Schizosaccharomyces pombe: one gene and its partner. Changing the gene in region 2 together with the main gene of any one other region gives a genetic interaction. Each region holds a gene or a part of one and is shown on either strand. Other genes may lie near its edges.

What was found.
Region 1: of cbh1 (region 2) and sap1, a mutation in one rescues a mutant of the other (synthetic rescue), as found in Schizosaccharomyces pombe (one study listed by BioGRID).

The regions. Positions count from the first base shown.
Region 1 is NC_003421.2:560,919-565,919, reverse strand, and holds sap1 (switch-activating protein Sap1), read left to right. Parts: upstream 1-2,153; 5' UTR 2,154-2,802; coding exon 2,803-3,567; 3' UTR 3,568-4,344; downstream 4,345-5,001. Other genes in the region: gud1 (guanine deaminase), read left to right, coding at 1-29; SPOM_SPCC1672.01 (histidinol-phosphatase), read right to left, coding at 4,643-5,001. UniProt on the Schizosaccharomyces pombe protein: Binds to sequences required for mating-type switching. Makes a simultaneous contact with both the alpha and beta domains of the switch-activating site SAS1.
Region 2 is NC_003424.3:4,458,135-4,462,888, forward strand, and holds cbh1 (CENP-B protein 1), read right to left. Parts: upstream 2,745-4,754; 5' UTR 2,636-2,744; coding exon 1,091-2,635; 3' UTR 786-1,090; downstream 1-785. Other genes in the region: pyridoxal reductase Plr1, read left to right, coding at 3,650-4,651. UniProt on the Schizosaccharomyces pombe protein: Binds to centromeric K-type repeat DNA and ARS3002 DNA. The CBH-binding consensus sequence is Py-Pu-A-T-A-T-Py-Pu-T-A.

The DNA of each region.
Region 1 (5,001 bases), on a different chromosome or scaffold from region 2:
CGGTAGAGGAGGATAGTGGGATGTCTTGAGCTTGGAGAAATCTGAGTGATGAGAAGGCAGATGGATTGTATGTGTGTGTGAAGAGCACGCATTGTGTTGGAGCACGTTTGTTAGAGTACGCTTTGCGTTAGAAGCATGTCTTGTGTTGGAAGCACGCTTTGTTGTATTTTTGGTTCATGATCGTTTAACGAAATAAGATAGAAATATTAAATGTGCAAGCAGCAGAAAGATTGTAATGTTAAAGTGGAAAAGAGCCAAGTAGAGATATTGTAGAGGATACGATGTGTTTGATAGGGCGGAATTTTGTATATACTGTTTTTTCAGGTAGAATACAGGGAAAATGCTGAAGCGACGTTTGCAGTGTTGAAGAGATGACAAATACAAGACCTTTACAAAATGCATTCTAGTTTGATTTTTTTTTTTTTTTATAAAGTGAATTTTTTCAAGATTTTATTTTCCTAATTTTATTTTCCTAATTTTATTTTTTATATTTTTAATTATCAATTTTATTTTTATTTTATTTTTTTTATTTTCTATTTATTTTTTTATTTTGCATTGCTCATTCTTTCACCCAGAGTAATCACTAAATTAGTCTTTGTTTACAACAATTTGAACAAACAAGTAAATAAATGAAAATAATATTGTTGTCAGACAAAAAACAAGTTAAAATTAAATAAATAGAAAACTTGTGGCTCATTTGATTCTTAGTTATTCTTTGTTTACCTGCGAATTGTTTTTTATTACAATACCCAACAAGTGTTTTCATGTAAATCATTTCACACTCTGTATATTTTACTTTACATATATATATGTGTGCGAGTTGAATCATTTAGTTTCTATCAAAACTCTTTCTACTGCTCTCCCTCTAGATTCTTAATCGGTTTACTGACTCTTTCCAAGTTCTTAATTTTTTACTGCACTTTTTTTATAGTCTTATTTATTTTTAGTATACTCTTTCTAAAGCCTTATTCGGGTTACTGCCTCTCTATGTCGTCTTTTACTGTCTCTCCCTCTACATCCCTATTCATTTACTGCACTCCTTCCTACTCTCTTTTTCGTTTGCTTCCCCCTCCAAGTTTTGTTTCGTTGCAACAAGGTAGAAACAATTCGAATGGTACCAACAATTCTAGCAATCCATACAGACTCAACACCATACATTTCAAGGGTCGACCTCAGATTACTCAATGAAACTCTTGAAAATCAGAATGATCAACCAATATTCATAAATGCTTACAGCAACTTTTGTCGATTGCTAGCAATGATGCATTTAGGTGAAACAAAGTGTGGTCTAACAATGTTTAAATAAAAGAAAAGAAAGGAAAGAAAAGAAAGAAAAAAATAAAAAAAATACTTGATCTTGATTGTATTTTTATTTTCTTTTCTTTTATTTATTCTATTATTTCTCTTTCTTTTTCTCTGCTATAAAAGTGGCGACCATACTGCAATCGAATGAATGTCCACACTGCAAAAAGTGTATGGAAGAAAGCCCTAGAGTAGAAAAGGAAAGAGAAAAGCGCACAATAAGGAATGTTAAGAATAAGAAAAAAAAAGTTTCAACATACTTTATTTTAATTATTATACTGTGGTTTATTTCCTTATTCCAATTACAACAATGTAATTTACATGCTTATTCTAATTACTACAAAGTGATTTTTATCCTTATTCTAATTACTACACTTGATTCACTTCCTTATTCCAATTACAACGCTATGATTCATCTCCTTATCTCCTCTAATACCCTCCCTCTCCCTCCTTGCTTTACTCTGCGGGCATCCCTCTTCCCCCCCTTCATCACTCCCCTAACCCACTGGAACGTTGGGTTTGTTCGTTTGTGCAATCTTTTCTTATCTTCACATTTCCACCCACTCTTCCATCTCACTAATTCCGCTCCTGGGAGCCGGCAAATCAGCACCTCCTTATCCAATAATACGCAATCCACATGACGCCACCATCGTTGCTAGTCTTTCCATTCTCATCGCTATCGCACGTTCCAGATGTGGCGCCCCTCCTTATTCCTCGCTTTCATTGGCTCTCTCCCCATCCCTCGTTGTGACCGTTTACCAGCGATACCGTATGTCATCATTACCGACCGTGCCTGCGTTTTGGTGGCACTCGATCTTATTTACCTCGCTGCGCATCCCAACGAACGCTTTACCAACACCTCCAACACACTCTCCATCGTATTGCAGTGTCGTGTAGGACTTGCCTTCGTTCAGATCCTTAAATAATTTCATTCAAAATCGGTTTGCATTGCTTTCCTCTGTTTTGCTTTGCCCTGCCTTTGTTGGAAAACCTCTCTTACCTCTTCTACTTGTGTTGACTCACCAGTCAGATCAGCTTGGCTCTACTTGTCTACGACTGGAAGCGTCTTTTCACCTCTACTACAAACTTCTATTCTACTATATACTCTTCTCCTGTTTTGCTTTGCTTTGTTTTCTTTTGCTTAGCTTAGCTTAACTTGACTCGACTCGACTCTGTTTTTTTACCTTGCTTTTATACTGTTCGTCTAGTACATAGTATACTTACTATCTTGTTAGTTCCTCCTATACGATTCGATTGCTTTTCCATCTCGTCTCGTTTTTCTCCTCCTCTCACTTAGCTTTTCTTCTATAAAAGGTCGATTTTCATCCTTCTCCTTTTATATCCAAAGCAAAAGCTTTCTGCGACAACTTTTCCTTTCCTTTCCTTTTCTCTTTTTTTTTTTTAACTATACACCACTCTTCCCCTAGCGGCAATTTGGATTTCGGACAATCGAATCCAAATTCCACCTATAAATTATTCAAGACGGATCCCCTATTTTCTATGGAAGCTCCCAAGATGGAACTGAAGAGCTATAAACGAAAGAATGCTTCGTTATCTCCCAGTTCCTCTCCCGCCAAGGCACAGCGTACTCACTTGTCCTTGGAGGAAAAAATCAAGCTCATGCGCTTAGTCGTGCGTCACAAGCACGAACTCGTCGACCGTAAAACTAGTGAGTTTTACGCCAAGATCGCCCGTATCGGTTATGAGGACGAGGGCCTCGCTATTCATACCGAGTCCGCCTGTCGCAATCAAATCATCTCCATCATGCGCGTCTACGAACAGCGTTTGGCCCATCGTCAACCCGGCATGAAGACCACTCCCGAAGAGGATGAGCTCGACCAACTTTGCGATGAATGGAAGGCCCGTCTCAGCGAGCTCCAACAGTATCGCGAAAAATTCTTGGTTGGCAAGCGCAAGTGTGATTGCAATGATGAAATTAATGAACGTCTCAAGAAGCTCACTGAAGAGCAACAAAACGTCGACATGCTTGTCGCCAAGGTCAACTTTCTCTCCAAACATCTTCACGATAATGAGGAAAAATTAATGCAGGTAAATGCTAAAATGGATGAAGTTCTTGCCGAAAATAAGCGCCTTCAACAACTTCTCGATCATAACGATTTGTTGTCCAAGCTCGAGCCTCCCTCTGCTTACGCTCCCCATGGCGTTAACATGGGCACTAATATGGGTGCCAACATGGGCGCTAATATGAATGCCATTCGTGGCGGTCTCCATTCTAGCATCTCTCCTAATCTTGGTGACCATTAATCCCAACTTTTCCGCCCATCCTCCTCCTACCTGTGAACACACAACCTCTTTTCTTCGAGAATTTCGTTCTCAATCCTTGTTTAACTTATGTTGAGCGGTTGAATATAAATTTTTTTTCTTCTTTACTTTTGACTGACGGTCTGCTTGATGTAAATATCTTTCATTTCTCCCTCTTCCTAGTTGTGTGCAAGGCGAATCATTCGGTAAAGCTGGTTACTTCCTTCCTCGTAGGTATCTTTGCCCCTTTCCAAATAAAAAGGCAACGAAGCCTTTCTGTATGTGCGCTAGTTGGGTTGCTTCTATTTTCTCCGCATTTTCTTGTCTCTTCCGTTATTAAACTAATATTGATTTTTTTTTCTTTCAATCCGGACATATTAAATTCTTTGTTTTTTTTTATTTTTTGTCCTCCTTCAAACAGTTTCGGTGATTGCTTTGTTTTCGCTTTCCACCGCTATTTGCCTTTGCCCTCTTTCCCTTTCGCACTAATTCGTTGTCCTTTTTGCTTTCGTGCTTTATCCCAATTTCGTACGACTATCGTTCTTCCCTTCAAACAAGCTTGAAACAGGTACTGTCATATGTTTTGCAAGCAATCCTCCTTGCACTTTCGGTTGAAGCTTGACGAAAGCCCAATGGTCCCACCCATGCTTTGCTTGTAACGTCACATCATGGTTATCTCTTATTTAGAATAGTTTTTTCCCTTAAATTGGTTTCAGTAGTGTTGGCCATTAGTCGGCCTACTCAATTGAGTTAATGTACAATTAATACAATTTTAAGCGACAGAAATCTATGTATCGTAGCAATCGATAGTTCATGTGCAAGTGGAACAAATATTGAGACATCGTAGTACTCGTGTAAAACAAACAGTCTTGTTAAACGGGAGCTCCTCATAAATGGGATCATCATCCACCACAACAAAAGCTTTGCCGGCCATTTCATACGAAGTGATTGAAATATGGTGAATAGCTAGTTACTATACTTCAGGTGACCAAACAGTGTACTTTTGAATTTCCCTTGTAAAAAAATTTCAAGTCCAAAAATGGCCCCAATACGGAAACAAATTTAAACTGTATTACTTCTATGTGTTAGTTATTCCGTTTGTGCCAACGAATTTAGACCAAACATTGTCGACCGTAACATTTTTAACCACCGTGCCATTACCATCGGGGCCCTTTTCTATCATACAGAGGCTTGTAATACCGCATTTGTCCAGATACGACTTGGCCAAATGATAATTCAAGCCAACTTGATGTGGTCCATGACTATCGTCAGATAAAGTGAGTTGCGCTCCTTGTTCAACCATCAGCTCAAGAAGTCGTTGCTGAGGATACGCAGTCTTCCATCCTTTGCGAAATGCAGAGGTGTTAATTTCAAAGATACCACCATAAGAAACAGCGTATTTAATGTTTCGTTGTATAAGTTCCCAAACACTTTTCG
Region 2 (4,754 bases):
CACTCTTCCAATGTTTTAATTTTTTTGTTTCTCCAATTTACTTTTTTAATAACCCATATTATTACTCATCACATTATTGTATTGTTGTTTTAAGCATGCCATTTTTTCGTACTGGAGCGCGTTAAAGATCTGATAAGCAAAACTTTCAAGATTTAAGAAGATATGTATATATACTTTAAGATCACCATAGCTAGTGTGGATCATTCTAGTGTGTATTTTAAAAATGGCATATTCCATTTTGTTTACTCTACTTTCAAATTTTTTTTTTTTTAAAGTGGGTCATCACTACAGAAATTATTCAATGAAATATATCTTCTGTTTTGTAGCTCAATGAAAACTCATAATTATATAAACATATTTCCTTAAATTCCACACTCCAGTTGCCTCATATCCATAATGTGATTTTTTTATGTCTTGTTTTGGTAAAATCTCTGATTGTGTGTGGCTTTTTTACCTAGCTATTAAAATTAATGGTTCGGTTTTCAGATTCGGACTTAAAGTCATATCAAAACCCCTACCCATTTTTCTAGCATTTCCAATAGTGGTTTACCAGCGCAACAACTCAAACAGCATCTCACTCACAAAACCATATGATCATTCATCATCTATAGCATTTAAATTAAATTAAATTAAATTAAATTATTAAAGCATCATTGCTTAATGCTTTATTTTTCATTTGCGCGCTAACTGATTTTTATTTATTAATTGTTCTCACTGCTTCTCTATATCTCTGTCTTGCATACAACAAAGGAAAACACAATGTGACACAGTTTATACAAAAAAAATCATTAATAATTCATAATATCATTAGAATCCTATAAAATGTTTTGTTGTTCAGGTATATGTACACACACTAAGTGAATTTAAAAGAATATTAAACGAGAAGGGTTCAAAGCCGCCCGCCATAGTTAACCAAAAGTAAGCAGAAACATTAATCTCAATTAAAAAAAGTAATTTTGTACGAGTGTCGACTTTTGTTTCACTATATTTTTTTTTTGGAAATTTGTTTGCTTTGGAGATTGAAATCATCCAACGTGAAGCACTTATTGGGTTTAGTAAGACTCGCTCTCAATTTATTTCCGTAAGTGGATCACGCTATTAAATTATTAGGGGCAATCACTCTTTGTCTGCGGTACAAATCTAAAACAAACGAGGGATCCCCATTTTCGTGTTGCTCAAAATATTTTATTAAGACTTCAAAGGCCATGGCAGCCTCCACGTTTGATATTTGAGGCTCCACGTCTTCTTCCTCATCCGACTCAAAGCGTCTCTCCTCCAGAAACTCTGCAGCAACGGTATCCACAGCATCTTGATGTAATTTGGTTTCATCTTCTTCAGAAGGTCTAATGTATTCATTAATTTGCTTAACAGCTTCGCTGCCCTTGCTTGAAATCAGATTACCAATTTCCATAATGGCCTTTTGATACGACTCCATTCCTTGTCCTTCGGCCTCGGAATGTGGACCCAATAATCCTGATCGGAGAAAAGATGCTTGAATAGTCTTTTCACTCACCCCAAAATTCCAAGACCAAAGCATCCACCGAATGGCTTTTAAAACATTAACGGCTTTTAGAGGATCTCTCAATATGTTGATTTGATTAAGGGAGTATTGCAACCAGTATCTTCGATAATTCGCTTTAAATGTATCGACTATTCCTTGTTCAAACGGAGACTTAATGTCCAATGTTTTTTCTGGAATTCGAAATACAGAGGTGTTCTGAAAACCACCTTTAAACCGTCGAACACTTTCAACACCGAACTGATATGTGTCATTGCTCTCTAACATCAATAGGACCTTGCGTCCTTGCATACGTGTGTCAAACCACCGAAGCCATTCCTCCATAATAATTGGTGAAATTGAAGCTCGGCCATTCCACTTCCATTCGAAGTTCATACTTTTAGGGAAAATACCGCACTGCTCAAAAGATCTTGGGTTTTGTGCATAACCCACGATCCATAAAGGTAGTCGTTCTGACCCATCGGCATTGCAACACATAATTAAAGACACTTTGGCTTTTCCACGCTTCATTCCCTGGATTTCCTGATAATCCAAGTTTTGTTTATTAGGAGTGAGTTTCCAAAAAAGGCTTGTCCCTCCAACGCAAAATATATCTTTTTGGGCATAAGGCCGTATAAACTCTTGAATATGAACTGGGTATTCTCTAAACACCTCAAATTTGATGGATTCCAATGCCTGATTTACCGCACTTTGCTGGATATAATGTCTTCTTCTAAATTTATCCAACCAACCATTGCTAAAGTCTGGTAATGGGAGAGAAGCATACGCCGGAATTTTCGACCAAAATCGAGTAGCAGCTTGTTTGATCATATCCCCTGATATAGGAAGGCCTTCAACTTCTCTTTGTTGCAACCATTCGTACACGGCATTGTCAAGCAAAGGAAACTTTGGAGCTCGAATTTTTTTAATATCACCGAGTCTTACACTTCCATCATCTAAATAACTGTATTTGGGTGAAAGAATTTCGGAAATCGTTGACTGCGATAAATCTTTATTGTACGTTTTTCGAAACCATTCTGTCACTTCCTTTTGAGGAATTCTATGGGCAGATTGGTTATAATAATCTCGAATTGCCTTTTTCTCTGCTAAAGAGACGGCCTGGCGTATAGGAGGCATTGATTTTCCTTAATACTTACTATGCCGATACTTTTCCAGACCGATATAAGAGTATAGCCTTGGATTTATACAATTATTTTATGTTGTAGTAGATATCGGAAATAACGGTGAAAAGACGAATTCTATCCTTGTAGGGTTTAAGAAGGTGAGTACTACTAGTGCATCCTTCTGCCTTGCACCCTATATAATCTAAGTGCAATATACCGAACCTATTGTTAATCTGTAATAACAATGCCATTGGAGATGCTCAAATTATGACGTTCAGGTTAATATAGCAAATTTGCGTATCTTAACGATTTTGTCAGTAAGAAAAAGAGAATTCAAGAGCAAAAAATAGGAGAAAGAACGACATGAACGCTGTTAGAAACCGTTTAAAATCAATTCTCATATATGTTTTAAATGAGAGTCTAATTGAATACTTCCTCAAATTTCATTTCTGTAGCACACCTCTTCTCACTATTAAACAAAAATGTGTAAATAAATAAATGTTCCTTGGTATTGTAACAAAAATGGCGATTCTGAAGTTCATGAGCATTTTCCCTTCTCTTTCATTTAATAAATTCTCGAATTTTCAAATAACATAATATGTAAGTTCTCAGTTTTGGTGTAATTACTTTTAATTCCAATATTTCCATTCATAGTTCAATTCATAATACTTACTATCAAGTCTATTTCAATAATGTATGTTACACGTGTGATCCAATGTTTAAAAATGTAGAAGTAAATTTATAAAAGCAAAGCCAAAAATAAAGAACAAAGCTGTTTAAGCTAGTTACGGTACGAAGAGTAGGTGTTACTTACGTTTGATTCATTATTATTAACAGTAGAACTAATTAGTAAGCATCGTCTCAAAGAACCATTAGGAAATTCTTACAGCATACGGTACCGTTATCATATAAATAGCAAGCTTTGCATACCTAGCAGCTTAGTTTTTCCAATATTATTCGCTTAAAATTGAGAATACACATTTGATATTTACAGAGTTAAGCATTTTTAAATTAAAGTTGTGAAAAGATGCCTATCGTTAGCGGATTTAAAGTCGGACCTATTGGCTTTGGTCTTATGGGTTTAACCTGGAAGCCCAAGCAAACTCCAGATGAAGAAGCCTTTGAAGTAATGAATTATGCCTTATCCCAAGGCTCCAATTATTGGGATGCGGGTGAATTTTATGGTGTCGACCCTCCCACCTCTAATTTAGATTTATTAGCTAGATATTTTGAAAAATATCCCGAAAACGCTAATAAGGTGTTTTTATCTGTCAAAGGTGGTTTGGATTTTAAAACACTAGTTCCTGATGGAAATCCGGACTTCGTGTCAAAGAGTGTTGAAAATGTGATAGCTCATTTACGTGGGACCAAAAAGCTAGATCTCTTCCAATGTGCTCGAGTCGACCCAAATGTTCCCATTGAGACAACCATGAAGACATTGAAGGGGTTTGTGGACTCTGGAAAGATTTCATGTGTCGGCCTTAGCGAAGTTTCTGCTGAAACTATCAAACGTGCTCACGCTGTGGTCCCCATTGCTGCAGTCGAAGTCGAATACTCCTTGTTTTCTCGTGATATCGAGACAAACGGTATTATGGATATTTGTAGGAAGTTATCTATCCCTATTATTGCATACTCTCCTTTCTGTCGTGGCCTTTTGACTGGTCGCATTAAGACTGTCGAAGACCTTAAAGAATTTGCTAAATCTTTCCCATTCTTAGAATATTTGGACAGATTTAGCCCTGATGTTTTTGCTAAAAATCTTCCATTCCTCCAAGCTGTCGAGCAACTTGCTAAAAAGTTTGGTATGACTATGCCCGAGTTTTCACTTCTTTTTATAATGGCGTCTGGAAACGGTCTGGTCATTCCTATTCCTGGCTCCACATCTGTTTCTCGTACAAAGAGCAATCTCAATGCACTGAATAAATCTTTGTCTCCTGAACAATTTAAAGAGGCCAAAGAGGTCTTGAGTAAATACCCAATCTACGGGTTACGTTATAATGAACAGCTTGCGGGCACTCTTTCCGTTTAAAGTGCTGAAGTTAGTCGATACTCTTTCGCATTTCAGTTTTGAAATGCATATTAAATATAAACTTATTATATGCTAGCCTTACTTAGGTATTCAGTAATGACAA